Linked DNA regions of Xenopus tropicalis. The protein of the gene in region 4 purifies or fractionates together with the protein of the main gene of each other region. This does not show direct contact. Links are inferred from orthologs where the notes say so. Each region holds a gene or a part of one and is shown on either strand. Other genes may lie near its edges. The genes, in order: nedd9, asap1, edc4, crk, map4k5, peak1 and dock5.

The links.
Region 1: the proteins of crk (region 4) and nedd9 purify together in Homo sapiens (affinity purification with western blotting; 3 studies listed by BioGRID). This does not show direct contact. The link is inferred for Xenopus tropicalis from reciprocal best matches to the Homo sapiens genes CRK and NEDD9.
Region 2: the proteins of crk (region 4) and asap1 purify together in Homo sapiens (affinity purification with mass spectrometry; 3 studies listed by BioGRID and IntAct, with this or other methods). This does not show direct contact. The link is inferred for Xenopus tropicalis from reciprocal best matches to the Homo sapiens genes CRK and ASAP1.
Region 3: the proteins of crk (region 4) and edc4 purify together in Homo sapiens (affinity purification with mass spectrometry; 3 studies listed by BioGRID and IntAct, with this or other methods). This does not show direct contact. The link is inferred for Xenopus tropicalis from reciprocal best matches to the Homo sapiens genes CRK and EDC4.
Region 5: the proteins of crk (region 4) and map4k5 purify together in Homo sapiens (affinity purification with mass spectrometry; 4 studies listed by BioGRID and IntAct, with this or other methods). This does not show direct contact. The link is inferred for Xenopus tropicalis from reciprocal best matches to the Homo sapiens genes CRK and MAP4K5.
Region 6: the proteins of crk (region 4) and peak1 purify together in Homo sapiens (affinity purification with mass spectrometry; 4 studies listed by BioGRID and IntAct, with this or other methods). This does not show direct contact. The link is inferred for Xenopus tropicalis from reciprocal best matches to the Homo sapiens genes CRK and PEAK1.
Region 7: the proteins of crk (region 4) and dock5 purify together in Homo sapiens (affinity purification with mass spectrometry; 3 studies listed by BioGRID and IntAct, with this or other methods). This does not show direct contact. The link is inferred for Xenopus tropicalis from reciprocal best matches to the Homo sapiens genes CRK and DOCK5.

The regions. Positions count from the first base shown.
Region 1 is NC_030682.2:90,770,514-90,774,633, reverse strand, and holds part of nedd9 (enhancer of filamentation 1), read left to right. Parts: intron 1-1,069; coding exon 1,070-1,168; intron 1,169-2,012; coding exon 2,013-2,105; intron 2,106-2,287; coding exon 2,288-3,430; intron 3,431-4,120. UniProt on the Homo sapiens protein: Scaffolding protein which plays a central coordinating role for tyrosine-kinase-based signaling related to cell adhesion. As a focal adhesion protein, plays a role in embryonic fibroblast migration.
Region 2 is NC_030682.2:142,077,024-142,081,143, reverse strand, and holds part of asap1 (arf-GAP with SH3 domain, ANK repeat and PH domain-containing protein 1), read left to right. Parts: intron 1-804; coding exon 805-874; intron 875-1,042; coding exon 1,043-1,101; intron 1,102-1,390; coding exon 1,391-1,893; intron 1,894-2,042; coding exon 2,043-2,165; intron 2,166-2,848; coding exon 2,849-2,923; 3' UTR 2,924-4,120. UniProt on the Homo sapiens protein: Possesses phosphatidylinositol 4,5-bisphosphate-dependent GTPase-activating protein activity for ARF1 (ADP ribosylation factor 1) and ARF5 and a lesser activity towards ARF6.
Region 3 is NC_030680.2:41,311,748-41,316,556, reverse strand, and holds the start of edc4 (enhancer of mRNA-decapping protein 4), read right to left. Parts: upstream 3,006-4,809; 5' UTR 2,944-3,005; coding exon 2,868-2,943; intron 1-2,867. UniProt on the Homo sapiens protein: In the process of mRNA degradation, seems to play a role in mRNA decapping. Component of a complex containing DCP2 and DCP1A which functions in decapping of ARE-containing mRNAs. Promotes complex formation between DCP1A and DCP2.
Region 4 is NC_030678.2:46,102,305-46,107,046, forward strand, and holds the start of crk (adapter molecule crk), read right to left. Parts: upstream 3,298-4,742; 5' UTR 3,170-3,297; coding exon 2,950-3,169; intron 1-2,949. UniProt on the Homo sapiens protein: Involved in cell branching and adhesion mediated by BCAR1-CRK-RAPGEF1 signaling and activation of RAP1.
Region 5 is NC_030684.2:92,952,352-92,956,471, forward strand, and holds part of map4k5 (mitogen-activated protein kinase kinase kinase kinase 5), read right to left. Parts: intron 1,749-4,120; coding exon 1,670-1,748; intron 1,084-1,669; coding exon 1,025-1,083; intron 11-1,024; coding exon 1-10. UniProt on the Homo sapiens protein: May play a role in the response to environmental stress. Appears to act upstream of the JUN N-terminal pathway.
Region 6 is NC_030679.2:92,898,751-92,903,534, reverse strand, and holds the start of peak1 (inactive tyrosine-protein kinase PEAK1), read left to right. Parts: upstream 1-1,725; 5' UTR 1,726-1,832; intron 1,833-1,921; 5' UTR 1,922-2,420; intron 2,421-4,784. UniProt on the Homo sapiens protein: Probable catalytically inactive kinase. Scaffolding protein that regulates the cytoskeleton to control cell spreading and migration by modulating focal adhesion dynamics. Acts as a scaffold for mediating EGFR signaling.
Region 7 is NC_030679.2:127,713,768-127,717,887, forward strand, and holds part of dock5 (dedicator of cytokinesis protein 5), read left to right. Parts: coding exon 1-22; intron 23-521; coding exon 522-611; intron 612-732; coding exon 733-833; intron 834-1,614; coding exon 1,615-1,749; intron 1,750-1,951; coding exon 1,952-2,063; intron 2,064-2,145; coding exon 2,146-2,216; intron 2,217-2,612; coding exon 2,613-2,719; intron 2,720-2,987; coding exon 2,988-3,124; intron 3,125-3,332; coding exon 3,333-3,428; intron 3,429-3,730; coding exon 3,731-3,829; intron 3,830-3,939; coding exon 3,940-4,034; intron 4,035-4,120. UniProt on the Homo sapiens protein: Guanine nucleotide exchange factor (GEF) for Rho and Rac. GEF proteins activate small GTPases by exchanging bound GDP for free GTP. Along with DOCK1, mediates CRK/CRKL regulation of epithelial and endothelial cell spreading and migration on type IV collagen.

The DNA.
Region 1 (4,120 bases), on a different chromosome or scaffold from region 4:
GCTTTTGGAGACACAGAGATGGCTGAAAAGCCTAATAGCTGTGCTGTAAAACAGTATTGCATTTCAGAAAGTATGACTGAACTTTGGGTAAGAATAAAATGCATTGACCTCATCTGTACTAACTTAAGTATATCTTTTTATGGTTAGTGGTACTTGGCATAGGAATACAGCTAAGCCTGTAATGATTCACACCCATAATTACACAGTGCTGAGTGCTGTGACTTTTTGCCTGCGTCAGTGCTTCCCAGCTGAATATATGCAGACTTCTGTGTGTATGTGTCTGCTGAGGATATTTAACTCCTAACTTGCCAAGATTAGGTGTAGAAGTAGACCTGTCAAGGTTCAAGACATGATATTATTTAAAGTTACAGGCATGGGTTCTATTATCTTGAATGCTTTGGACCTGGGCTTCTCCATATAAGGGAGTTTGCTGTAATTGGGATCACCATACTTTAAAGGTGGCCATACAAGGGTAGATTTGCTCCTGTATGGGGCCCTCTAACAGGCCTCCCTGACTGATATCTGGGCAAAAATGGGCCAGATGTCTATTGGGCAGGCTTATTTTTTCTGTTGGAACAAGGACCACATTGGCTCATTGATGTGGTCCTCACTTTTTGTATCCCCCTTCATTATAATGCTATCATTTGGCCCAAGGGCCAAACGACTGCAGTAGCACAATATCACCTATCCAAGGTGGCATATTGCCAAACGAGCAAATCTTACTGTGTATGGCCACCTTAAGTAGCTTAGTTATAATCAGGTTAAAGGTGCTTAAAATGGGCACTATAGGAGAAGGCCTTCCTATAATTCAAAGATAATTTGAGATCTATATCCCAAAAAACACCCTATACAGTTATGTATTACTGAGAAGGGTAGGATGTGTTGTATTACTGTATTTTAATTTGTATTTTGTCACCTTGTTTATTAAAATAGTCAACATTTTCAGCCTCATGGAAAATTAACAGTATAATGTGATTTTCATTTTGCATGCAGCTTTTTTCTGTAAGAGAACACATCTGCATCAATTCTGCTTTTCAACTGTTGTGTTCTGTGTATTTACAATCTTTAGGTTAAATGCCAGCCAAGGATGACGCAAGGTTACAGTCATGATTGTACTTCCCGGTGGCAGACAAGCGTCTATGACATTCCTCCTACTCGGCCTCAAGGGGTACGTAGACAATGGATATTTTCAGACTGTTTGAGGTAACCTCGCAGCTGTCCCTAAATATTTTATTGCACTCCCTTAGCATGAAAACACACATGGGGAGCCTGCAGCATTTAAGGTGTTGCTAAACTAACTTTGCCATTATCTTGCCTCAGGCTAATAACGCTTGGAACAAAATTAGTGGGAGGCCCATTTATCAACATCTCATTTTGATTGGTTTTAGAGAAAAAACTAATTTTCTCTAAAACTATAAAGTGATTAACAGCCTTTTAAAAAAAAGCACAAACAAAAAAGACACAAAAAAACACATCTCCCTTGTCGCGGGGCGACTAATCTCCCCGAAATGCCATCCCACCGGCTAGAATATAAATCGCTGGTGGGATAGCATACACGGCCGAAATCGCCACACCGCATATGCCATCCCACCGGCGACTAATCTCCCCATCTGTCACGGCCTTTAGTGTTCTCATATTTGACTGACCCAGAAGATATTCCAAAATATTAGATAGTGTCCTTTAGCGGACTTTTGTAAGAGTGAAAATAATGTAAACTTCTTTGCATGGTCAAGTTACACAGGTTGCTCATTCAGCAAAAGCTAGTAAAACATGGAAGACAAAATAATAAAGGGAAAATAACAATAAACAAACAGTTTTTGATCAAACATACAGCTAGCTGTGCACTTCATGACATAGATCATCGGTTCAGAAAAAAAGCCATTTCGCTCTTCAGTAGAGACGCACTCACTGAAACTCTAAGCATCAATCACAAAAAACATTGTTTAAGTGTCCTTCTTACAGTTACATTTTTATAAAATCTAGAAACCTAATTTTCATTTGTTTTATTGAAGGTGTATGATGTGCCAGCAACTGCGAAAGGTTCAATGTATTCAAGCTCACCCACCAAGGATCAAGGAATTTATGATGTTCCTTCTTCACAAGCGGTAGGTGACAAAGAAACTACGAAGATGCTACACATTCAGTAGTTGTTTTGCAAATAACTTTATTTTGCACTTGAGCTAACTATAAGCATTTATAAGCTGCCCCTTTATCAGTTAATATGTAAAATAATTGTCCTAATTTACTGTTTAATTATGTATAAATATGGGAATGCTTGCATTTTTAGGTCTACAATACCTTACCATCCAACAATGGGAAGATGTATGACTTTCCATCTTCAAGTAAAAAGACAGTAGAACCTACTTATGATGTTCTTCCTCCAAGTTCTACAACCTTTTCCCAGGAGAAAAGCCGCAAAGTGAGCATGGTCGTGTCACCTCCACTAGAAGCTACAAGAAAATCAAGTGTTTATGACTTTCCCCGCAGCCAGCAGACTCAACCTCAAACAGATGATTATGACTTCCCTCGAGGAATTCAGAGTGAAAATTTTGTTTCAGATGGCCAAGACGGAGTATATGACTTTCCCCCACAGGCCTCAGAGAGAAGCAAAGTGGTACAAGACGTAACTGATGGTGTTAATCGCTTGTCTTTCTCAAGCACTGGAAGCACAAGAAGCAATATGTCAACATCTTCCACAACATCTAAGGAGTCATCTGTGACTTCATCTCCTTCCCAAGACCCAAAGTTACTTTTGGATCCAGACACAGCCATAGAAAAACTTTTAAGGTTACAACAAATGGTGGAAGTATCTGTAACTCAGTTAACAGCTTTTGTTAATTCAGAATGGCGCTCTTATACAAACATGGAAAGGCATATCAATGAGATTCATAGTGCTGTAGACCATGTTGAGCAGTCTCTGGGTGAATACCTTCAACTTGCTAAAGGGGCTACAACAAATGCATCTTACTTGCAGGAAAATGGCCTTTATAATAAAATGAGGAGGGAGTTTCAGCGGTTAGATGATTCTCATCATATTCTCACTCAAACATGTCAGGATCTGAACAGTTGTAACTGGTCTATAAATGTGCTTGCTTTCAACAAAGCAAACAACAAATGTGACAGTCTTGAACGTTTTGTCATGGTGGCAAAGACAATCATAGATGATGCCAAGCAACTTACCACCACCATCACTATTAATGCAGAGCTTTTATTTAAGCAGTCAACTACTATTTGCCATAAAAAGAGACCATCGGATTCCATCAGTTTTAGCACAGACTACATGTGCAACATACCTCAGCCTCAGATTATACAAGATGATATACAGAGCAAGATGCTTCCCCACATGTTAAAAGAGCAATCTTCAAAATTCAAAAATCGCGATGGTTCTTTAAAGAGCTGGATGGATGACTATGACTATGTGCATTTACAGGTAAGTCATTAATTTTATATATTGTTGTACATGTAAGCTATTACACTATATTTTGCTGTGCTATAGTAGATTTACTTTATATTGCTTTGGAAATAGTATAAAAGCACTGTTGTCTTTATAAACTGCAGTATATAAATGCCACTATGAGCACCAAAGTGTTAAAAAAAAAAGTGTATTTATTAATTATTATATATTAACTGAAAGTTGAAATCCTCCCTGCCTCCTAAGCAGCAATTAAACATTGTTGTGGGATCAAGACATTACCCAATTTTTTTTTTATCTCTAGATATTCTGCATAACTAAAAAAATATCAATGCATCTTATGGCCAGTATGTACTACATTATACTGTGATTGGGTATATTAAAGAATTGCCTGAACACAAATTAGTATCTAATCAGAACATAGGGGTGGATAAAAGCAAGATGAGAATCAGTCCCGTTTGGCCTTAGCCTAAAGCTGGCCATACACTCACCGATAATATCGTACAAAACCTCGTTCTGTACGATATTTGGTGCGTGTATGGCAACTCGCCGAGGCAACCGATATCGCAGAAGACTGCAGATATCGGTCGACATGCTGATCGGGCACCATTGAAGATACCCGAGCAAAATCTATGTTCAGGGCTGAATTGGCAGAAGGAGGTAGAAATCCTATTGTTTCTACCTCCATATCTGACGATTCAGCCCTGA
Region 2 (4,120 bases), on a different chromosome or scaffold from region 4:
AATTAGAACCGGGTGCTAACCATAAATTAACATATTCTCCTTCAGAAAGCACTCACGGTATTTGCGACAAAAAGCGAGTATTTATTTACACAAAAATGTCTACGCGTTTTGATCCATATAGGATCGTCATCAGGACGTCCTATATGGTCCTGATGACGATCCTATATGGATCGAAACGCGTAGACATTTTTGTGTAAATAAATACTCGCTTTTTTTCACAAATACCGTGAGTGCTTCCCGAAGGAGAATATATATATACACACACACACACACACACAAAGTATATATCTGTTAGTATCTATGTTGCTTTCATTCTAAATCAAAGAGAAACAGTTAAAGCCAGCGATCTGTATGTTGCAGCCCAATGGCTCCTGTGAGTTGCACGGTTCAGCTAAGGATTCTGGGAGCAGTAGTTATTTAAAATAATTGTCAGCAGCAGAAACACTGGGATATTCTTCTGTCTTTCTTTTCCAGCTTGCTGCTCTCTCTTCTCTAAGGCCTTTATTTTATTGCAAATTTGCTTTCAGGCAATCGCCGGCACAATATACATTATTTACCTGCAGGGGTGTCTTCCCATTCCTATGTCATTAAGTAGACAAATATACTAGCATGAAAGCTGCCATACTGCTGGAATAAAACTAGCACCTCTATTGGGGATAAGGTCATGTAGAAAACATTTCAGTAAGATACCCCTGCTTATAAATACTGTATATTCCCTCTCTAAAGGCCATTTTGGCTGATACTCTTTTTGTGGTCAGTTTTACATTTATAAAATATTTATTTATGTATATTTATCTCCGGCAGGTAATGACTTGGGCCCGAGTGCTGCAGACAGAACTCTAAATAAGTTTGAGAGATTGTCACAGTCATCAGGGTAAGTCATTAACATCTGGTTTTAAGTTGAGGGTCTCATTCACTTTAGTCAGAGAGTAAAAAGATGAAGAATAATTCAGTTTGTTTTGCAGGAAATGTTTTTCTTTGTGGAGAGGAACCTGGAAACATATATATAATTTGTACTTTTATGTTTAATTTGTTATTTTAGCACAGGAACAACAAAGACTGCATTAGGCCCAAGAGTCCTACCAAAACTACCTCAGAAAGGTTAGTCTTTCTACAGTTTGTCTTCTCCTCCTTTCCTTCCTGTGTCTTATATGTAAAATGTGTGTGGGCACATTATCCCTTATAATATAACTCAGCCGTCAGCCTTGTGCCTTTATATGGGCACAGAACCCCTCAGTGACTGCTAATATCCTTATCATTTACAGTAGGGGGTACATTATCCCTTATAATACATGAGTGATACTCATATGTAAAATAGGATAAAGGCTAATTGTCTATACAGTGATTGTTTCTGAGATGTCTCATTATCCTTCTTTGTTTGTCCCCAAAGTGGCACTTAGGAAAATAGACACCACTCATCATCTCTCAATGGATAAGTATAACCAGCAACCCGAAATCTTCCAGAAATCTCCCCAGCCTGGAGATCTGCCTCAGAAGCCACAAATTGCAGATCTTCCTCCGAAACCGCAGCCTTTGGATATCGCCCAGAAACCACACGTCGGAGATCTACCTCCCAAGCCCGGAGAATTGCCTCCTAAACCTCAGCTAGGAGATTTGCCCCCGAAACCGCAAGATTTACCTCCAAAGCCACAGCTGAAAGATCTTCCGCCCAAGCCCAACCTGGCAGAGGTGATGTGCAAAACTCCTGTTGCGGATATAGTCCCCAAACCTCATACCAATGAGGCCAATCAAAATTCCCAGCCGGTGGATGCGACCCATAATGCACAGCCCACGGACCAAACCCCTGTCCAGAAGCAAGTTCCAGAAACTTCCAATAATGGCCCACCGCCTCTTCCAGAAACACCCGTGCCACTTCCCCGAAAGATAAACACAGTAAGTTCTGTGCTTAGTCAGCATTTCGTAAAATGTGCAGATAAATCACAATCAATAATCATAGCAATGAGGTGCCCTACAACCCAGGTTGAAGATCTAGAACAGCATCATTGTCCGGAACAAACTGACTTTTTTTTTTTCTTTTAAAGGGGAAGAATAAGCTTAAACGAGTTAAAACAATATACGACTGCCAAGCGGACAATGATGATGAACTCACATTTGCGGAGGGGGAAGTGATTATCGTCACTGGAGAGGAGGACCAGGAGTGGTGGGTGAGTATCCTGTAACCATGAGATACACTATAGGGTGGGATAATTCTATGATACTGCTGTATATAAGCTGTGGCTAAAGGAATAGCTACGGGTTTGGCACTGTAACTACCACCAGTCACCACAGCCAATCAGCAAAACAATGGGAAGGGAGCTCAGACTAAGGCACACTTTACTGCTGCGCTGCAAGTTGGAGTGCTATCCCCCCTCCCCCCCAGCAGCCGATCAGCAGAACAATGGGAAGGGAGCAAGGTAGCAGCTCCCAGTAGGTATCAGAATAGCACTCAATAGTAAGAAATCCAAGTCCGGCTTGGGACTCCTCCAGTTACATGGGAGTAGGAGAAACAATAGGTTAGCTGAAAGCAGTTCTAATGTGTAGCACTGCCTCCTTCTGAAAGCTCAGACTCAGGCACACTATACTGCTGCACTGCAAGTTGGAGTGATATCCCCCCCCCCCCCCCTTCTCACCCCCAGCAGCCGATCAGCAGAACAATGGGAAGGGAGCAAGATAGCAGCTCCCAGTAGGTATCAGAATAGCACTCAATAAAAAGAAATCCAAGTCCGGCTTGGGACTCCACCAGTTACATGGGAGTAGGAGAAACAATTGTTTAGCTGAAAGCAGTTTGCTAATTATGTCCGTATTTGTGATTGTCTATTAATCATCTCATTTTGTGTATTTACTGCAGATTGGGCACATCGAAGGCTTCCCGGACAGGAAAGGAGTATTCCCTGTGTCCTTCGTCCACCTGTTGACTGAATAATAAGCAAAGCATATCTGCCCCCCCGCTGCAATCCGCTCTGTGCTCCACTCTGTGTATATAAGCTGCTGTTACACAGTCCATTTCATCCCAAACCTTCATCTTGTGCTGAACTCTATATGTGTATTGTCAGTGTACAACGTCCTTCTGCCTTTGCCAGTATTACAGTAGCCCAAGGGGGACACTTGGAAGCCGTCCGTGGCCTCTGGGCAAGCTGTGATCCATCCCTGCCAACATTCCCCATCTGGGCTGTCTCCGTTCAACACTATATATCTGCCGGGGAAACCGCTTCTCCATTGCCCGGACCTGCCAACAAGCCCCCCCCCTGTATGAACACAACCAGTGACTCTAGGTATTTATTGTATCAATGGCAGAATTCCACGTAGATTTTAATTATTGATGGTATTAATGTGCCCTGTGTCTGTTCCCTGTCATTGGCCGCCTCCATGCCGTTACTTTGCTACAAGTAGTACAGAAAACAAAAGCTATATTTCTATCTAAAGACTTCTTTTGTTAGAAGGATATACATATATAAATATATATATACACTCACACACACACATATATATATCTCTAAATGACATTTGCGGTTTGTTTGGTCGGACTCAGACGAATGAGAGCGATATTAGTCTGTTTACATTATGCATGCATTTCTTACCCGATTCCGGCATACTTGAACCTGCCTTTACGGAAACAGGAATTTCATTGTAGCCCTAAATGGGGCCAACGGGGGGAGTCACGGGCCATCGCAGAGATTCTATTTTTTCCCCCCCATGTGAATAGCCACATGGAACAGACAGTGTTAAATATGGCGTCGAGCCCTCTCTCAGTAATAAATATCATTAGTACCGCGGTTATGTACAATTAGCATTTCCTTTATTTTGTATATAATTTAATCTGTACCATAAATTATAAAAAGTAGGGTGACTTTTATGTATATGGCTAGTGATAGAGAAGCTTATTGGTAACAGAATGCGATTCAAGCTGGAGAAAGTCTCCGGTGGCCGCGGTAGGTAGGAGGCGGCACCCCGTCCTGCGCCGCCATACCCGGCCAATCGCGTGATTTCTAATCATCGTTAGTGGAGCGATCTGTGGTAGCTTTTTAGTTTGGGAAAGGGGTGAGGGAGAACTCAGTGGAGTCATGTGTTAAAGGGATCGGTTCCTCTTTAAATTAACTCTTAGTGTGATGCAGGCAGGGAT
Region 3 (4,809 bases), on a different chromosome or scaffold from region 4:
CTAAATAGAAGTTTTGTTGTTTTTTTTGGTAACATAGGCAGCAGACAAAAAGGGCTTGAAAAGCACTTTCCAGGTTTGTTCTTCACCAACCCAAATAATTCCAAAGAATCCACTCCCGGAGCAGCGATTTTGGCCACGGACTACTTATCAATAAAACTTGTTTATCTATTTTAAACATTTTAGTTATTTTACTTTTTTTTTCCAGTGATTATACTTGTATTGTTGTTCAAAAACTCAAGTTAAAGGGTTAGGGTAAATTGTTTGTCTTTCAAGACTTTTGCATCCAGCTCATCAAAAGGTTACAAAAGGTTGTAAGATTTTTTTTTACCCACTCTGGCTTTGCCTGTGTTTGAAAAGTTATTTAAGTAAAATACAGTATTATTTAAGTAAACTATCTGTGCAGTGTGATATAGCTGGCAACTTTTTTTTTTTTTTTTATAAAACTGTGACAACTTTGTTTTGACATTTCCCACTGAATGCGCCTATTGAATAGATTTCTGCATTATGTATGCCGTCTGCTTGATCAGTTGAAAAAATTAGCAAATGCTGCTTATGTACTTATGCACTAGCAGAGCCAAAATTCCAATTAAAAAATTGGAAATTACATCTCTTGAAATTACCAGTTGTAGCTTTTTGCTGCCCCTGGTAACTTGCAGGCTGCTGTCACACATGGCAGCAGCACCCCTGGGTAACCTACATGCTAGTGGTAGCACTGGTAATTGTATGGAAGTACATTAGTTCATAAGGTCACACTGTATGTGGCTTCCTAAAAGTTGTTCTATAATAACTCCTTCTTGGTAATTATTTACTGAAACAATGTCTACTCATCAGCTTGACACATTTTACAACCAACACCTGCCATACATGTCCACTGAAACCCTACCCCAACGCCTTTTACACTTGCCCATTCTGGTTCCACCCTGGTCATTCCCTATCTCCATTGGCATATGTCGAGACCCTGTCTCAGTTCCCCTGTTCTTCTCATACCATGTTTCTAGAAAATTCAATATAGCTGTTTGGATTTCAATTAAATCTTTATCCTGAAGCCACCTGGATCTTTTCATGCACGGGGACTTAAACAGTTTGTTTTTGTTTCAAAAACATCAAGCCTCTGCGTACAGTGGCCTGAATAACTCAGGGCTCTGCCTTGTGTGTTATTTCATGTTACCACAAATCATTCATTTCGACACAGAATGAAATTAGGGATCAGCCTCCCAAATAAAGACGTGCTTTACCAGCTTATTTGTCCTTCTTTTAACTTTCTCTAATTCAATAATATTCTACTTTAGCACTTGAGACCAAAACAGCACTGCATTTTCTTCTAGATAGGAACTGTTTGTAAAGAAAAATTATCCACTCCTCCCATGAATGTATGCCCTTTTAATAAAACTCAAAACCTTGTTTGCCCTTGCAGCTGCTGACTGGCATTGCTTGCTGCAGCCAAGTTTCTACAATCCCTTTAGGCCCTTCACCATTATGGATTTGTCTAACACAGTCCCATTGAATGTATAAGTTGCTTGTATATTTTATATCCCAGGTGCAAACACTGAATCTCATCTGCCACTTAGCCACCCAGTTTGCAGAGATCCTGCTGAAAAAGAGGTCACATCCTGTATGGAATTAATTGACCTACAAAGTTTTGTGCCCCCTCATAAGTAATTAATGAACAAATTAAAAAAATAGTTTTTACAGAACCCTATGGGAGCCCACTAAAACCCTCACTGTACACAATGCTTTAGCCAGTTTCCTATGTATAAACAACACTATACAGTCATGGGACCGGTTCTCCAGAATGCTTGGGACCTGGAATTTTCCAAGGTTTTCTGTAATTGGGTTCACCAAACCTTAAGTCTACCAATAAATCATTTAAACGTTAAATAAACACAATGGTATTGATTTGCCACCACTAAGGCTAGATTATATTTTAGTTGGGATCAAGCAACATTATTACGGAGTACAAGGAAACCATTTTTAAAAATGTGATTTGTTTTTTGTTGATTAAAATGCATTCTAGAGATGGGCTTCTTTTAATTAAACTTTCTGCATTACGGGTTTACTGATAACAGATCCCATACCTGTATTATGAAAAATAAGACCTTTATTCAATTTGCAGGTATTCAGAGCCACACAGTTACAGGTATACTTAGAAAGCTGATGTACTAAAAAACAAAATGTGGCTTTTCTAACTAGAATTAAATATTTACCCTCAGGTATCCTCTAAAGTTAAAAACAAAAATGTTGAACAATTGAATGGCTGTTTAGTGCACACACTTATCAAATATTTGCTGGCACTAAAAAAGTTAAACCATGAAGTTTATGTTTGGTCCTCTTTTGTTCCTAAGTCAAATTCCAAGATATAGCCATCTAGCAAATTAGGGTGACAAGTACATTTCTCAGTTTCTATTCTTCACAGTAAAACTGTTCTTTAATCACTTCTGCTTTTTCCAGAATTATCAGGTGGCAAAACGTTAGACATGGCCACCATTCCCCCTTCCACTGATTACAAAATCAAACTCCTCCAACTTATCCTTAGGCAGAAAAAATGAATTAGTACTACTCAGAACAAAAGTTTTGCTATACAGGCATTTGTGATTTCTCTTACACGAAGGAAAACTATGAGCGAAAAAGTGGTCTCAGTTCCGTAACGAAGTGAAAAACATTACAGAGTACATTGATTTTGTATCTATTTAATCAACCACTAGCACGTAGCTACCAATTACTGCCTAAAACTGGCCGTTCATACTGTTAATAAATGTTAACTATTATAGTGTTCGCCACACTGCGCATCTTCCTCCCGCTCTTTAAACTTGGTTTTCCTTCCACTGACGTACCAAGTCATTCTGCCAAAATACTCCTACCAAGCTTACCTTCAGGTCGGTCTAGTTTTAAGATATCCCTTAGATGCTGAGTCGCGTCCACGTCAATACTGGTAACTGAAGCCATACTCTATAATACGCTAAAATCTTATTTCGTTCCCCTCTCTCACCAGACTCAAAAGCACAAATAACTACCTCTACTTCCGCTCCGTTGCGTTCTTAATTCCCATCTTCCTCTCGGAAACAAGAACAGTTGCATGAAGGTTCCTGGGCGTACTATTTACAACCAATGAAGTTTCGCATACGCTAACCATAGTTTATATAGATATGGGATTAATTATATTCCGGGTGCACGTGTTTTAATAAATATGTTTATATATTTTTTATCATTATTCCTCCCGATCTAGTCTTGGCAAATACGCCACAGATTAGGTACATTCTAGCTCTAGCTAGAGTATGTTATTTCGACGCTAGAAATTGGTCTCAATCATGTAACGTAATATATAGGGGTGCTTAAGTATACCAATAATTTTATGTTTTAAGTACGTTCATACAGCAGAAATTATTTAACTACAATTAGCCCCATTTATTATCAAACAATTTCATTTTTACACAAGCTTATATGGTGGTTTGTTGCTTTTTGCCACATTAAAAGTATTTCTGTTTATTATTTTTATTATAATGCCTGGGGCACACACCATTGGCTCCTGCTCCCTTCTGCATCTCCTGTATCTGCCCTGAAAAGTATAGCTTATATTAAATCTGATCTGACATTTAACTGCTCCGAATGCCAGTTTGTCACATACCAGATGGAATTAATTGGGCTGCATAGTTTTGTGTCATCCTGCCCTTAAAGGAGAACTATACCCCCAGGCGCAAAAAGCCCCCTTAGCTATCACTGCCTAGACCCCCCTCACCTCTTCCTTATCACATAGTTTTTAAATTTAAACTCTGTTCCTATCGCTAACCGCTACCTAAAAATGCAGAGTAGCGCAGCAGCGAACCTGGCCGACATCATGTTAGCAACTGAAGACTCTTTGGGTCTCACCGCCGACACGGACCCTGCTTGCGCATGCACAGTTGAAGCTGATTTTCCTGCTACCACCAACTGCACATGCGCAAGCAGGTTCATATCGGCAGAGAGACTCAGAGTCTACAGTTGCTAAGATGTCAGCCAGTTACGCGGCTGCGCTACTCTGCATTTTTAGCTAGCGGTTAGCGATAGGGACAGCGTTTAAACGTAACAACTATGTGATAAGGGAGAGGTGAGGGGGTTCTAGGCAATAATAGTTAAGGTGCTTTTTGTGCCCTGGGGTATAGTTCTCCTTTAACATGAGACTTTGTATTCTCACGCGTTTTCATGCGTATATCGGCTACATGTGCCTGCACCCGAGCGTATTCCATTCATTCGGGTGCAGGCACAAGAATCAGGTGTAGGGCTGAATTTTCGCCAAGCGTTTTTTCCGCTTGCCGAAAATATCATCCCTACGCCTTGTGTGGCATCAGCCTAAGAGCCCATACCTTGTGCACTTTTACCTTCCAATTTGTGCCTGTTTATTACCTGACCTCTTAGAGTCCCTCTACAGAGCAGGGACCTTCTTCCAACTGTGACTCATACCACATGGCACTTAATTTCTGTGTATTTATACTTATTTATTGTTTTTATTATAACACTTGTCCTCCCTGTGTGTAATTGTGTAAGATTGTACAGCGTTTCATATCCTTGTAACGCTTTATAACTAAAATTATACATACATACATAAATACATACATACATCTCCAAACACTGGTACATTACTCACAATACCCTCCCCTAACAAGTTGAATAAAAGTGTAACAAATACAGAACCCTGAGGGTACCCATTAACCCCCATATGTGAAAAAAAGCACTAAGTTTGCCCAGTTGCAGTAACCCATAGCAACCAACAAGATGTTTGCTTTTAAACAGGTGCCCAGTAAATGCTTCCATCTCGTTGGCTATGGGTTACTGCTC
Region 4 (4,742 bases):
GTGTATTCATGTTTCTTATTCACTGTAACAGCAGCCAATGTTTGTAACATAACCATGAAGACTATTATTTCACCTAGAGATGTTTAGTACTCATGTGTGATTGTTACACTAAAGCTGGCCATACACGCACCGATAATATCGTAACCTCGTTTCGTACGATATTCGGTGCGTGTATGGCAAGTCGGTGAGTCGACCAGTATCGCAGGAGGCTGCTGATATCGGTCGACTCGCCGATCGGCCAGGTCAGAAAATTTTGATTGGGCGCCATAGAAGGCGCCTGAGCAAAATCTGCCGTCAGGGCTGAATCGGCAGAAGGAGGTAGAAATCCTATTGTTTCTACCTCCTTATCTGCTGTTTCAGCCCTGACGGTGTGTGGCGGATCTGGCGATGGTCGCACGAAACATCGCCAGATCGCCACGTGTGTGGCCACCTTAAGCCAAGGCTGTTTAAATGGTCTAGCACTCTAAGGCTATTGTAACACTAGTCATTTTCTCCACCAGGCAAGAAAAAAAAACTGCATGGATTTTAAGAATGCTAATTAAAATATGGTAGAAACATTAAAAATAAAAAAAATGAAGAAAAAGTACTGTATTTTGTATGGGTTCCAGGTAATCCAGTAAAAATATAGTGTAATTTATACTCAAAATGTATACTCAGAATCATTGCAGATGTGTCATGCAAACAAGTAGCACTGGAACACACAATACACACATGTAAAAGTGAAGAGCACAATCTGGTCTTTATTCCCACAACTTAAACCATTGGGTGACAGTGTGAATGTAGTATGTCCTATTCCACATACAATTAACAAAAAAAAAAAAAAAAAAAAAAAAAAAAAAAGAGAGAGAGAGATGGCCCTTCACTACTCTGAAATTGGGCCACACTTGCTAAGAAAATTATCCATGTGTCATGGACAAGCATGAATTGTTTCCACTGTGTGCTAAGGGGACTTTTATAAGCAAAATGATTCATGATTTTACAAATTAACTAAACGTTTCTTATTAAAGTTACGGGATTGGAAGAAACTGTTTTACGAGTTTCAGCAACTGGCCCACAATATTAATTGTATCACTATAAAGAAAATAAACGCTTATCTTTCAGTCCACAACTAAATGACTTTCCCTGCCTGCAGCTGCTTCCTGTAGGTTTGAAGGGAAATGTACTACCAATGGTAGACTCTGGCGCTGCCAGGTCAGGATTGCATGGGTATGCCAGTGATTGTTCCCTATATGGTAGTTCGGGCATTTCTCATATAAAGTGTGTGCCCAGTTCCAAAGTAGTAGCTGCTTAGCGTGCACGAGGGTTTTGTTCCTGAAAGGAATAAGGGTACAAAATGTGCCCAAATTCTTAAAGCACAAATCTGGACAATAAACTCTTTGGTGCTTGGACTTAGATCTTAATAATTGTGCATAAAAGCACAGTGGAAGACCTATATAAACAAATAAGTTGAGTAAAGATGATGTGACAATATAGTTTCCCACAAGCATTGTCCCATAAAATAAGGAACTGTAATACTGGGGAATTCCTCAACACATTTTAATTCCATGGGGGGGGGGGGGGGGGGGCAGAATGAAGCAGCAAAGTTAAATGAAAAACAAGATTTGCGGAACCGACTGATTTGTTTGTTGTAAATTCAAATTTTACCTACGTTTGGCGCAGAGATTTTGCTTGGGGTATGTTGCAATAGTGTCTTTGGAAAAAACAAAGATTGAGCCACAGTGCAATTTTTATTTATTTTTCAGAAAATCAAAGGAAGCCATTCAAAGTGCAACCTAGACTATGAATCAGTGGTTTCTCATTTGCTATCAACACTAAAAGGGATTTTTACGGATGCATTCACCAAATCAAAAGAAAAACCTTTTGTTGGATGTTCCTGTTTAAGGAAGTTGAACACACACTTTGAGGTCAGGTATGCAAACCACTAACACAACTATTTCCTATGAAATCACGGAAAGCCTCTACATAATTGAAATATGAAAAAAAACCAGTCTGCTCACAAACTTACAATTTTAAATCCAACTCCTTGTTTGCACTATAATGACCTGGGAGCAGTTGTCCATTCAGTAAATCTGGAACACAGATGACTATGAGGCCTGGACTGGCAATCTGTCTATTCCAGTGATCCCCAACCAGTGGTTCGTGAGCTACATGCTGCTCCCCAACTCCCAGTGGCCTCAAAGCAGGTGCTTATTTTTTAATTTCTGGTTATGAGGCAAGTTTTGGTTGCATAAAAACCCAGTGTAATGCCAAACAGAGCCTCCTGTAGGCTGCCATTCCACATAGGGGCTACCAAATAGCCAATTATAGCTCTTATTTTCACCCCCAGGAACTTTTTTCATGCTTGTGTTGCTCACCAACACTTTTTCCATTTGAATGTGGCTCACAGGGATAAAAGGTTGGGGATCCCTGGTCTATTCTGTTAAATGCCAGAGGGGCTACTGTGAGTTGCCATAGACAGTCACTATCAAAAATGTTACAAGTTCTGTGTAATTAAAAACCAAAAACTGGGCTACCACTGCGCCCCAACTAAACAGGGATATAACATGGCTCTAATTCTAAGACTCAGTGACAAATGGCATATAATAAGGATGGACTGTGGCTCTCAAACTAATTGCTCACAAGCTCAAATGCCTACAAATGAGTTTAATGCCCCCAGTGCACCCAATACCGGAAAACCTTTGCATGCATTTCATTTTTCTATATTATAAATGTATATCTATATATATCTATATCTATATATATATATACACACACCAGTGTTTAGTCACTATGAGCAGTTTGGATAAGAGAAATAAATGCAAAGGGAATAGGCCCTCGGCTTTCTGCTGTAAGTGCCTGGCAGCTGCGCCTCTACAATTCACTAACACATGCAATGCAAAATATATTCTATTTATCGGTATTAGTGCAGCCGCCCCCACCTCACATGCGCTGCATGTAGCCCCTACTCACCAGTCCCACTCTGCCGGTTGTTGCTGACGCTGTTGATGATATAGTGGGAAACCTTGGAGTTCTCAGAGACAGACAATACGTAGTCACCAGGTATAGTTGTGGAGTCTCGAACTAAAAACACACCGTGCCGCTGGCCCTGCAGAAGATTGACCGCCTCTTGTCTGTTCAGCTTGCCCCAGTACCAGCTCGCCCGGTCCTCGGAGTCGAAGTTGCCCGCCATGGCTTTCCTCCCCCTATGGGCCTCTCCCTAGCGCCCCGGTACTCGATACTACCACCGGCTTAAGGCGGCAAAAGACGCCGCCCCCAAACCAGACGCGGCAACCAGTCTTCTAACTACCGATCCCGACCTCACCAATCCCGAAATGGCGGCACAGGAAAGATCTGACCTCACCTTCCGGAAATGCGTCATTGGAGCAGCGACTATGGAGCGCAGGGGGCGGGTTCTCTTGACAAGTTAGAATTCTGACTTTTAAAAAGCCGTGTTTGTGCTTCTTGCCGACCAAAACTAGTGCGCTCCCATTCGGTAATCAGGCCGCTGGGTGAAATGAGCCGTTTTAATCACGTATTTGTCAGTTTCTATCTTAGGGTAGACTAATCAAAACTAAACTACTGCTGTGATTGGTAACACCAACATTTTACTACTGGCGTAAATGAGCACCACTGTCTCATTTGAGTCTTGGAAGTGAATATTAGATACGTGGTAGGGGAAACCTTTGCACGGAATAAAATACATATATGTATGCCTGTTGTGAACAGTCGCAGGTTTTATCTAGGCAATGGCAAGGTCCAAAGGTCCATTACTCCAAATTGGTGGGGGATCAGGGCCAAGAGCAATATAGATTGTAAGCTCTATGGGGCAGGGACCTCCATCCTCTTGTGTCTTTGACTCTTATTGCAACTGTATTTATCTTGTATCTATCTGTATTTATTGTTATACTTTGTATTTATCTATTATTATCTTAATAATCCCCTGTTTGTATTAATGTATTCTACTGTACAGCGCTGTGTACATAAGTAGCGCTTTATAAATAAAAATATACATACAATGCAATATGTCCAGAGCCAAAGCCACTATTCATCTGTCCCTGATTCTTTATAACTTTATTGTAATAAAATGTATTTTAGGGAATAATGAACCATCTGCTAAAATTAAAGGATGTTAGAAGTCAGCAAAAAGTTTTATGACCTTATGAAAGCAGCAGGCCAATATATAGGGACTCCATCTTACATCCTCATCATGTTATAACAGGGGTTTTTATAATACACAACACAATATACAACAATATCATAATATCAAATTATAAAAAAAAAATCATGGCTCTTATGTAAATACTAAATAGTAAATATTGCCCCCTATGGTAAAATGTAAGGATATTGTAAGTATGCATGTATATCTTTATTTATAAAGCGCTACTTATGTATGCAGCGCTGTACAATAGAATAGATAAATACAAAGTATAACCATAAATACAAGGTACAGTTGCAATAAGTTAAAGGAGACAGATCCTATAAAAATTATGAATGTACCAGTGAATTATACTCCTCTAGATATAGAAGGATTGTGCTTTAAAAAGTTGTGTTTCCTGCTGATCTATTGAGAAATTCCACAAAAACCCCACTAGCCCCGCCCATCCGTTCCACTTCCTGCTGGCTGAATTCTCTGGATGAGCTGGGGAGCCGGTGGCCCTCCCTACACTGCACTATAAGATAGGAACCAATCAGCAGCTAGGCTGACCTGATAGGGAACTGAAGCCTGTCTGTGCTTGTGTGACTGCAGGGTTGTGATTGGCTCT
Region 5 (4,120 bases), on a different chromosome or scaffold from region 4:
TGCTGCAACCCTAAAATAAAAACAAGTAGAATAGACTGCTGCATGATCCTGCGGGTATTTGTCTGCAAAAGTATTAAAAAAAAAAAAAAAGGCCAGAACTTCATTCCCTTTCACATTAAGCATCAATTGCATCTTTTATTTAGAACCCCTGTGGTTCAGAATTGACTGAGTTGCACAGATATGAAGAAACGTTATTTGTGTGTTTTTGCAGCATTCTGTGAGTTTACAAATAAAAAAGGGCATCGTCTGTATGTCTATGTCAGATGCTGAGCATGAGTTATATGAAAGCCTTTTTTTGTATGCAAACATGTCAATCCACTCATCTGAAAATATCTGACCCATAGCTCAATCAAAGGTAAACAATTACATGTGCCATACCTCAGTTCGTAAGATTATTTATAGAAAGCAGTCATGCAAAATGTCAGCCACATGATTAATTGTGGTTTTGTTATAAACTCAGACAACTTTTTATGTAATTTAGCCGGTCACTGTTCAGGGTATAAACTAACAGTCATACAGCTATTACATCTACAGCTACTATACCAGCTTTCATAAAAAGCAGATAGCAGTGACTTTAGCAACTACAAAAGCAGATCAATTATAAGTCTAAATTATTTGTTATAATTTTAGAAGTTACAGGAAAAGGCTGCAACATTGTTAGCATTAGTTTGTGTATAGTGCTGCACTCAAAATATTAATGCATGTAAAAGCAGAAACACACATTTGATTGCAACAGTCTTTAGGAAAACTTTGGACAAAAACAAATGGAACTACTGGCAGCTGCTTCATATCCTTTTTCATGGAAAGGTAGACAGGATGTCTGGCTTCCTTATAATGCTTTCTCCTAGGAATTATATGGCAAGTGATTTCCACAGAACAGGGTATAAAATCTGCATCACTAAATAATAAAGGATGTTTTTGGCATAGGTTCATTTACGGTGATGACAATGAATAGTGGTTTAAGTCACTGCCACCACAATAAATGAAACATATTATATATACGTATTAGGTTTGCCATACTTACCATTCCTTCATTGGCTTCAGTCTCTTTTCTTAAAGGTGGCTCAAACTGCAGTTTGTCAACTATGAAGAGAAAAGGAGTTACCAAAGACCAGATGTAGACTCACCAAGCAGTCATTTACTTACATGAGGTAAAGAGATACGGACATAGTAAAGGTCTGACTCCGCAATGCCATTAAAAAAGTGGACAGCAATCAAAAATCTATGCTTTTTTTTAAAAAAAAATAATTCTTAAGAAATCATATGCTAGGATGTAATACAAAATAATTCATTACTTTGTGTCTGTAAATCTTTAATCTGATATTTGCCTTAAAAATAGGTGGTAATCTACAATAGAGACAAGCATGCCTTAAGAAGATTATCCCAGGATGTTATGAATAATCTGCATTCTTATAGTTCCAATCCCCCTCCTTACTGCACAAGCGTTCTTTTTAAAACATGTTTTGCTTGTAATGATTTATGTAGCTGACATGAGTGGGCAGAATACATTATAGTTAAATACGATGAAAATTTAACCAGAATAAGGAAACTATTATACAAATGTTGTATTGTTCTTCAATGGTTTAGGAAGCACTTCTTCAAAAGTGGTTTAGAGCAACTGAACAGTCAAAGTTTGATAATACCATTGCAGTTCTGCAACAAGACTTACAATTTAGTTCCGAGGCTGTCCTCTCAGCTCTTGCAGCTTTGCTTGTAGAACGGATGGTATGTCGAACCATGGAAAGAGGCTGCAAGAAAAATTGAAATATTTCTTAGTGTAGTGAGAAATTCTATGCAGTTTTATTGTTTAATGCCTAGCACAGCCACACACACACACAGCCACACACACACACTCCAACTGAATTACAGCAGAAGGATTCTCACTTCTGCTACACATTTGAGATAATTTATGCAATTATTACTAATATTAAACATTAACTATTTTATAGAAAAGTGCCTGCACAACTTTAAAAGACTATTCTTTTTTCTTTACATATTACGTCTTGCCCTTCCTCTTTACTATATACAGGCATTGTAAGGGCACTATAGTAAAACCCCAATTTTACATACCCTGATTTTAAGTTTTCCCACATTTCATATCTTACCAGATGAATACGTTGTAGAGGTTCTGCCAGTAACTAGTCAGTTGCAATGAGTCTGCCCCTCATACAGTCATGCACAAATCACTTAATGCTTTTGGTTGTGCATCTGAGAGTGAGGTCTTGCACATGCCACTCCATTGTGTAACATTAATGCTGCACTGCTTACCCCTTATCATTAATACAGTGAATATTCTATTTCAAAGTAAAACTGACTCCTGTGCTTATATCCTTTGAGTACTTAAAAAATAATGCTTTAACATCACATCACATCTCTCTGATTTAAAATTTTTCCTGATTTTACAGTATTTTTTCCTGGTCCCACTGTGTTTTTGGTTAAATAAAATGGTTATGTACCCACATGGTGAAACACTGAATGTGACACCATTTCTGATGTTTAAACAATTAGAGACATTGAGGGACAACCAGAAATGTATTACAAGAAATTTACAGCATTCATAAATACAGGTAGTTCAGTTACTTTGGGTTTTTGCTATGGTTACTAAAGGTCCATTCAGATGGATACGTCACACTTTTGTATGCAGCCACCCTGATATACATCTGATAAAAGTAAGTAATCTATGTTCTCTTTAAGTTTTAAGAGCTTGTGTTGAATAATTAATATTACAGACTTCACATGTAAAAATCAAGTTTATGTTTAACTGCCCTCTAAAACACTTCAAACACCTGTGTACAGTATACCATAAAAAAACAATATTTCCACTGATAATTGCTATTAAAAGCAAATTAAACAACCCAAGAATGGAGCTGCTATTAGGTTCAATGGGGAAGCCAAGTCTATTCAGTCAGTTACGAGGGTGGTCCAACACAGACCTCTAGATGTTAAGATGGCCATACAGGTTAAGATTTTTAAAAGATCTTTTAGTTATCTAAGGACCAAGCTGATCCTGAAATGATTGTTTAAAAATATGATTTGTCCTTCAACGAAAACTACCATTTCAAGTGACATGGTCTAGTTGAAGCTAGGAAAACTAGGAAAACTACCTACTTGGTCCTGCAAACAATTGGACAATGGGCAAATTTCATTGCTAACAACGAAAATTTTGGAACCCGCTCAATCAATTTTCTGACCGATGTCAGATGAAAAATTGCTAGATGTGCGATCGTTCATTGCCCAGTAACCTATTATTTATGATAATTTGACAGATTCTTAGAATCGCACTAAAATTGGTTGTTAGGGAGAGAAAAATCTTAACATGTATGGCCGCCTTGAATCTGTAATATTTTAAATGACTATACCCAAATGCACTGCCTAAGAAGGAGCCAACAAGATTAATTTCCTTCCTTGGATTTTAGTAACCGCTACCTAGGACCAAGGCCAAGTACCGTATATACTCGAGTATAAGCCGAGTTTTTCAGCACTGAAAACGTGCTGAAAAAGGAACCCTCGGCTTATACTCGAGTAATCCGGCATTCGTCTCGCGCCACCCCATGCATGTACACGGACACACGTGCGCATGTACGGGAACTTACACATGCACGCGGGTGTGGTGGATGCCGGATTCGCTCTACCTGATGTGAGTGTGATGGATGCAATGCTGCTATTGACTTGGGGGCTCCGTCTACTCAGGTACTTACACATCGACTAGGGCACTTACACATGCACGGGGGGGGGGGGGGGGGGGAGGATGCCGGATGCGCTGCCGGATGTGCGGGTCCCGGATGCGCTGCTGCTATTGCCTGACTCAGGGGCTCCGTCTAACTAACTGACGTGGCCCCGTTGCTGGGTCATAAGTGAATGGGGTGAGTAGTTCATGGCCACCTTAACTTTCTTACATTTCTTTGTTTATCATTTAATGTGCATAAATAATCAAAGAAGATTCTTTGCTTCTGTCCTACAGACTTGCCTTGCTGCCATAAACATTAAACAAATCCCTCCATAATGGACAATGAAACAAAACCCATCCCATACCTCGTAAAAGGATTACATTGCAAGGAAATACAAACCTTCACACAGCCACAATCTCATGTTCATATTGTCACAAGAGAGTGCTGCGTAT
Region 6 (4,784 bases), on a different chromosome or scaffold from region 4:
ATTAATCGCAATGTGATTCATCCTTGCATGGATGCAGGCAACACATAGCACTAACCATGGAAGCCATGATTAAGCTGGGTGCTCTTCCTTATTCCCCTAGAGCACACAGGACCTGCAAGACAAGTTGTGTTAATTAATTGTTTAGGAGGCCAAATATAAGCAGCAAACTTCAACCCTACATACCAAGTTAGCAGCTTATTGTTTCATAAATGGGCATTTAGACAGAAATGTATTGGGCTGGTTAAAAAATTCTGTCAGCAACGGTGTCCTCAAGCAGGGTATTTGCCCTGGGCCTAGCAGTGCTCTAAAGAGATTGTTCACCTTAAAAGTAAATTTAAGTATGATGTAGAAAGTAATATTATGAGACAGTTTGCAATTGGTCTTTTTATGAATTGTGGTTTTTGAATTATTTTGTTTTTTGTTCAGCAGCTTTCCAGTTGGGAATTTTGGAAGCTGTCTGGTTGCTAGGGTCCAAGTTACCCTAGCAACCGAGCAATGATTTTAAAAAAAGACTTGAATATGAGCAGTAGAGAACCTGAATAGAAAGATAAGTAATAAAAAGTAACAATAACATTGTAGCCTCACACAGGATAATAATTTAAAAACTATAAAAAAATTAAGACCAATTAAAACATTGCCAAAAATTGACCATTCTATAACATACTAAAAGTTGAAGGTGAACTAACCCTTTAAAGCAGCCCTGGACACTATCACTTTTATTTTTTGTATTCATTATTTTTCTTCATTCTTTTTACATATATGAATTTGTATATTTATTCCCAAATGATCCCAAGTATCTGTTACTACAGCCTTGGAAAACAGGGTTCATGCAAGCATCACTCAGACTTCTTATCAACATTCTTGTAGGCTGGAGGACAAAAATATAAAGGGCCCCAACCTATAAGAACATTTCCCCGCCCTCAAGCACTGTGTCATTGAGAAGGCAAAGCTGTTTCTTTGGTGGAAAAATGTTAGTATGTAGGTAGCTGAGGGAAGGCAGAGGGCCAGAATTACAAAAAATCTTGGCAAATATCTAGACTTATAGAAGAATAGTGACACTTTTTGTTAAAATCATAACATTTCACTATTGCTTTAAGTTAGCTATGCAGGCGCAAATAAAGGCTGCTGACCCCTTCGGCCCAGGCTATAAGCCTATCAGCCCATGTATGGTGCCCTCCTAAGAGTTGCCTGACCAATATTCAGCTACAGGGCAAAAACTGCATCAATGCCCTGATGCCTGGTGGGTCTCTGTAGGCTCACAGTATGATCCGTTTGTTGTATACCTTTATGGCCTGGAAATCACACTTTAACATATCTTGGGGTCCCCTTTGCAATGGGGAACCCTGATGGTTCCCTGATTGTCTAGTCAAGCCTTAGGCAAAGCTACAGGATGAGTGCCCTAGTATCTTAGCAAAATTAACATCTGAAAATGAAAAGAAAATGTATTTAATAGATAGAAGTAGAAAAATGAAGGTGCAGTGTAATCCTCAACTGAACAATTCAGTGTGGGATGTATAGCAATAGCAGTGGATGGTATCTTTGTGGGTGCTCAGAATGTGAATAGCATAGGAAGAAAAGGAGCAGCTCTGGTTCATTTCCAAGCAATATAAGCACAGACCATGCCAGGCTAGAGGAAAGCGCGCACAGCTGACTTGCTAGGAGCCCCTTACACAGAGGTTCACCATAAAGGGGCTGTACCTCCACCCCAATCCCTCGGCTTTCAGCCTTGCACTCACTGCGGCCCTTGGAAGCCACACTAAATAAGCTGTCTCTTTCTTCATTCCTCGTAACTATATGATTTGTTTGGCGGTGCCCGCTATATTCCTGCCAGGGTGTGTGTTATTACGCATTCACTTTGTATATCCGTGCATTGTGTGCGCTTTGAGTGTGTATATGTGAAAGCAATGCCTTCCTTTTTCAGGAAATAATTTGCCTGCTGCTGCTCTTCAGGCTCCCTGTAGGGGGAGAGGGAGAGACGGACACACTTACACACACACACACACACACGCACACACGCACACGCTGGCTCTCAGACACAGACAGCAGGCCAGCTAACACACACACATGCACAGATCACACACAGGAACGCCGCACAGATCTGCGACTGCACCCCACACAATGCATATACAGATACACTAGCATCAGTGCCACAGGCCGGCACCTACATCCATCAGGAAGGCTCAGAGAGCAGCCTGACATACACGCAGATGTCACACACAAGCAGGTCTGTCACATTCAGACAGCTCTGACACACGGTTATGTCACATTCAGACACAGCGCTGTCTCATACACACAGATAGAAGTGACAGTCACCGGGCTGAATCACACACTCAGACCTGTCACACATATACACTGCTGCTGATTGCTCCGCTTAACTCTCCCTTCGCCAGGAGAAGATCTACCAGACCCATCACATTCTGGTGAGTACTAAAATGGCCATTTCTTATATTAATGTGTACGAATGTGCGCTGCCGATGTGGGGATGCTGAATGGGTTCCTGGCACAGAACTGGTTACAGACCACAGATTGGACATGCTTTGGCTGCTAAGGAATAATCTTGGGTAGATGTATTCTGGGAAAAGAAAGAAACAGTGCTAGGCTTTGCGCTCTGGCGATCGCGGGGTTAACGTGGCTATCCCGGGACGGAGCAGTAGGGAAGGGAATGAAGGGGCAATGCGCTGCGGATATTGGCCGAGTAGAGTTAAGCAGTGGGTGCTGCACGGGTTTCTAACTGGGCTGTGTTCCTCCTCCCCCCATTATGTCCTGTAAATAGCACATACTTTCCCTGCTCCCAGACTGACCCCCCCCCCCCCCCCCCCCCCAGACATACCGAGCATTCCTGTAACTCTTCCCAGGCCCGACAAGCAGAAGGGATGGCCCTGAAACTGGAAGGCACACACATGTTGGAGCCCATGCTGCTGCCCTGGCGCATCTATACGTGCACACATGCTGTTTGCTCTCCGGCCGCTGTCACAGGCAGATGCTGGCTTCTGTCAAAGCCGCTACAAGGAGCCACACACACAGGAATGCAGCAGCCTGTTACCCACACACACACCAGCTTTCTCTGTATCCGCTACAAAGGCCCACTGAGTACACTGTATTTGTGCTGTATATGCATCACTGAGCTCTGTGTATAAAGAGGAAGTCAGGGGCAACCGCTAGAAAAATAACAGCTCACGGGTTTATTCCTTATCCTGCATAGCTGCCAAGCGTCCCCACATTTCCAAGGCTAACACCTGTTTTTAACATTATCCTTGGAAATGCCTAGGTGTTTTCAAACTGACCAACTGCACATATGTATTTGAATGATGTTTTGGCCAGATAATAAGTTGTTAGTTCCAGCTATAAGGTTTGTAACCTATACTTATGGAGATAGGGTGCCTATGACATAAATAATCGTTCTCATGGTGGCCATTAAGGGTTAGTAATGAGTTAGGGGGAAGTGTGGTACATTAACTCACACAGATATAAGGATCCCTGGAAAATAGTTTCATACGTTGGCCTGTTAGTGTCATACTTCAGGGCCCATTTACTAATATACTGTAAGTGGTAAATTGCACTGGAGTGGTTAGTTGCCAATAGCAACCAATCTTGAATTAGCTTCACACAGTCTTACTATAGTTAGGAAATGAAAGCAGAGATCTGATTTGTTAAGTAGATACTTGCGCTGAAGCAATTTAGTACCTATGTTTTTAAATCAAATCCTTCATGCATATCAGGCAAAAGCAACCAGTGATTTGGCTGGCCAGGATTCTGGGAGTTGTAGTTCAATACTAATTGGAGGGCAGCATGCTTTCCTGTTGTGATGTATATGAAAAATATAAAGTTTGCATACGGAACATAAGAGGAGTGTGTGGGTCTTTAGTAGAAAGTTATCATGCTGAAGGTTTATGCATATTCATTTCCATTACTTATGATGTTCATTGACTAAATTGACTAAGCAACATGAAATAAATGGAACAATGACTTGTAGAATAAAAAGGGGTTAATAGTGATGTTTGGTAGGCCTCTCCCAGGGGAATGCTGCCTCACACCCATGTGTGACTCAGAGGCAGGTCATTAATGTCTAAGGGTCACTCTCTGTGTCCAGACCTTTAATGTCTTCCTTCCTCCATGGACGGAAACAGGTAGCAGAGAATAGCTGAGGCTGCAAGCCTGGTATGACAGTGAAGGCTGGAGCAGAAGAAATAGCATGTGGGGTGGGGGTGAGCGCAGAGTTTAGACAGTCAGGATTATTTCCAAACCAAACCCCCAAATATTGAGTAGCCAAATAGTAACATTCAACCTGCAAATCAAATAGGAAAACCAATGGAAATACAGTAGAACCCCCATTTTAATTTTTTGAAGGGACCAGAAAAAGATGGTGCAAAACTTGGGAAAATGTAAGATCAGGGAAGTTTATTATGTGTTATATATTAGTGGGACCACAAAACAATGGTGTAAAATGCAGGAAAACGTTAAATCAGGGGATGTAAAATTAAAGTTGTACTGTATATATTTAGCAACCCCAGCTGGATTTCTTTGGAGCATTGGCAGTGCTGTGTATGTATGAAAAAGGGGTACTGGCAGGGGGCCCTGTATTCAGTGGATAGATAATGTGGGGGTGGTTGGCACTTCTGCTGCTCCTATACCTGTTCTGTGAAATGAATTATTTGGCATGGAATTAGTCGAGGGGGAGTTTGGCAGTTGGTACTGACACTGTACATGAAGCTTAGTTCTAATCTTAGCATTCTCTGATGGAAGTGCAGCCTGCATTGCATATCTTTCTGTGCAAACATGCCACA
Region 7 (4,120 bases), on a different chromosome or scaffold from region 4:
GGATGGGGGTGAGATCATGAAGGTAATCTAAATGGCACACTGTATTATTTAGTGAATTAGGGCCACTTACCCTTCTAATAATGTTAGCCTTGGTTGCTAGGCCACATAGCCCAAAAACTGAGGCTAAAAAAGGCTTTGGATTAAACAAGAGTAACTGAGTGCAGAACAGAATATGTGAGCAGACTTTTATAGACACAGGGAGACCCAACCACAGGGATATATGTTGGTTTGCAATTCATAAAGACTGAATAAAAGGTTTTGTGCCCCTTTAATTACTTCTGCCTTTATACCTTATATACTGTATAAGCAGACTGACTTCCCGTTCTCACCCTTAATAATATTATTATTAACATTTATTTATAAAGCGGCAACATATTCCGCAGCGCTGTACAATAAGTGGGTTTCATACATTGGACATACAGAGTAACATATAAAGCAATCAGTAACCGATACAAGAGGTGAAGAGGGCCCTGCCCAAAAGAGCTTACAATCTACAATATCTCCACTCTCTTTCCCTTTAGTTCCTCCAAGATACTTTGGATGCTCTTTTTAACATCATGATGGAGACCCCAGACAAGGAGAGCTGTGATGTTCTTGTGTTTGATGCCCTGGTGAGCTACCAGTCTGTGCTTTCTACATGTTATTCTATCCTCTTGGTACCCTCCTTGTCTTGCCATTTTCTCTGTTATTCTGCTTTTCTTCATGTATCTCTTTTCTTTCACTTTTCTCTAGGTGTTTATTATATCACTGATTGCAGATATTAAGTTCCAGCACTTTAACCCTGTCCTAGAGACGTATATCACAAAGCATTTCAGCACCACGTTGGCTTATGAGTAAGTTAGTTGGTTCTTTTGGGCGGTGAGTTGGCCAGATTTAATTTAAAGATTTAATTACTGTAAAGATGTTTTAAGCTAATGAATAATTTATTGATGCTTTTGGTTCGATATCTTTGTAGCAAGGAAGCAAATGTAGTCTGGAGGAATAGTATAGAGATGATGTGCCTCCATGCACAGAACTTTCTATATCTGCCCTATGGCATATAGAGTTTCACCGCAAGTCTCACCCTAATTGACCTTCAAAGTAGGTTTTAAGCGTATTTAAGATGTCAAATTGGTATATTTTCCAAATCCTACCCTAAGTGGTGTTCTTACTTAGCAACTCCAGTGCTGCTCCAGCCCCCCCAGAGATTGTAAATCTCTGCATTTAGTCCCTTTGTGATCTTGGCTGACACACTCATACTTCATATACTTAGGGGGTGGAAGGATTGTTCACCTTGCCAGGCTTAATTTGCTGATGAGCTTCTAAAATAGTGTCTGGGTTTCCAGCCTCATTAATGAGATATATATATATATATATATATATATATATATATATATATATATATATATATATATATATATATATTATAAATAATATGAAATGGCTTGCTCAATATCAAAGTGCCACATCAATATGACGACTTATGTTCTAGATCTTATGTACAGACCTTCAGACAGTGGTGAATTAGCTAAGAATTGTGGGTGGTTGGACAGCCCTGTGCTAGGCTAGATAAAGGTTCCTCTTGATATCCCTTAAAGCAAACATTAACCTTGTCTTCTTTTTCCTCCCTCTTAGGAGGTTAATAAAGGTCCTTAGTTGGTACGTGAGAAGTGCGGATGATCCCTGCCGTCAAGAAATGCTGTTCTCTTCCCTCAAAGCCATAAAATACCTGTTCAGATTTATTGTCCAATCACGTATCTTGTACCTGAGGTAAGGATTATAACTGCAATGTCTGCCCATGTTGTGCTGCATTTTACACTTTAATGCCCCCATATTTCTATTAAACAGGTGCTATAGATTACTTGAAGGTCAACTTTGGGTCTGTGGGGCCTCTAGTTGGGACAGTTCTGCTCTTATCGTTGTTGATACACGGAATCTTTTTCTCAGTTTGCCCTTGACCTTTCTGTTTTAGGTTTTATGGTCAGGGCGAGGGCCGGGATCAGTTCAACGATTCAATTCGCCAGCTCTTTCTGTCTCTGAATGAACTGATGGACCGACCGCTGGACAAGGCTGTGAAGATAAAGGTCAGTTTCTCATAATAGGGATGCCAAGCTTCCTATCTCAGACAGGGCCAAATGTGCTCAGTGCTGTCCTACTGTCTTACAGGCTGCTGCTCTTAAATACCTGCCTGGGATCATAAACGACCTGAAAACTGTCTTCGACCCAGTGGAACTCAGGTAAGATAAAATGCACATCACACCTTAACAGTGTATTATTTAACTGTATACTCATACACAGACTTAAAGTAACAAATGCCCCATATGGATAACCTAAAACCACCTTAACAGTGGTCTCTCCTCAACTATTGCTCCATGTGGCACAGTCCAGGCTCCATTTCTTACATAAACCCTCCAGATAGTAGAGGTCATACATCTTTTAACCATGCAACATCTCCTACATTCATATATTCATATTTTTTTTTCCTGTGGTCAGTCGCTCAGATTCAGACTTTTTTGTGTGAAACAGGAAGAACTTGGTTAAGGGTGCTATTATTTATAGATTTTACAGTAAAACCCATATCCTTTCATTTTCTGCATTCTAAACCTAATTGTAACATAAAAACATTGTTTCAGTGTCCTTTTTGCAAAGTTTGTGCAAAGTGTCCCCGCAGACCAACTCGTCCATCAAACTCTAACGTGTATGAGCAAAGTGGTGGAAAGTGATCTCTTCCTGCAGCCAGGTCAGTATGGAAACCAGCACGGCCAGCATGTTGTCAACTAATACTAGAACACGGTGGTTTTTGTGATCCTAATGCCAGACCATAAGGGTATTCATTTTAAATTCCTTCTTTCTTGCTTTTCTATTTAAATTTTAACCCTTTTTAATGAGTAAATAATAAAGGTTAGATTTTATTATTAGGTGTGCCAGTTCGTTACATGTGTTCTTTTCATTTACTTTATAGACCATAGAAGTAAGCAAGACTTTCTCTTTTTACACTGTTTCTTCAGAATGCAGAGATGCTCTACAGCCTCTTCTCATCGACCAGCTTAGCGGGCAGCTGGATGATAATTATGCCAAACCTGACCATGAAGCTTGTGGGCATCTCTTGAGCAACATAATAGAAGTCCTGCAGAGCAAGGAGGTGGTGAGTGAAGGGAGCTGAGCATTGCTGAGGAGATCAGGATTGGTTGGAAACCAGATCTACTCAACAGCAGCAGTTGAATGGGGGGGCAGAGATCAATGGACAATAAGCAGTAGGAGGCTTAGGACATACTACCTACTGTGTTTATTATGTTAATTTCACCTTAGTCTCTCTAAAATATTATTATTGATCTGCTGTCTCTACTCTCCAGGGGGAAACATCACTCCACATTCAGCTCATCATGGAGCGACTGCTTCGAAGGATAAATAGGACAGTGATTGGCATGAGCCGACAGTCACCGCATATAGTAAGGCAGTGTTTGTATAGGCTACTGGTTTGGGCAGGGGTGTGTGGGCTAGGAAAAGTGTGGGGGGGGGCAGGTTGAGCCAGGGAGTAGGGGGCACTAGGTTATGAGGGTGCCAGGCTGGGGCAGGAAATGTTAGTGATGCCACGGTATGAGACCATGACAAGGTTGCACTTGATTGGATGCCATACTAGCTGTTTGTGATACAGTTATCCTATTATATAAGCTGTTGGTGAGTGACCCTGGCATTGCTAAATAATATGTGATACCTTGTGTCTGCCCTGCCCCCTTTTCCACACTCACAGGGCTGTTTTGTGGCATGTATGACTGCTCTTCTAAGACAAATGGATGATTACCACTATGACTACTACATCAGCACGTTCCGCACCCGACAAGACATTATTGTAAGTTCCCCTACTTACTTGCATACAGTGGGCCAACTCTCTGCTATGCAGGGGCTTCTGGATTCCCACTCAGCACTTAATTCTCTCTTTCTCTCACCCATTCTTACCAGGATTTCCTGATGGAAACATTTATTCTCTTCAAAGATCTGATTGGGAAGAGAGTTTACCCCAAGGACTGGATGCTGATGACAATGACACAGAACAAGTTCGTTTTCTCACTCTTCCCATTTCCTTTTTGTGTTACTGGGCTTTTCACTAAACCCAATATTATGTAGCTCTCTTGCCTTTCCT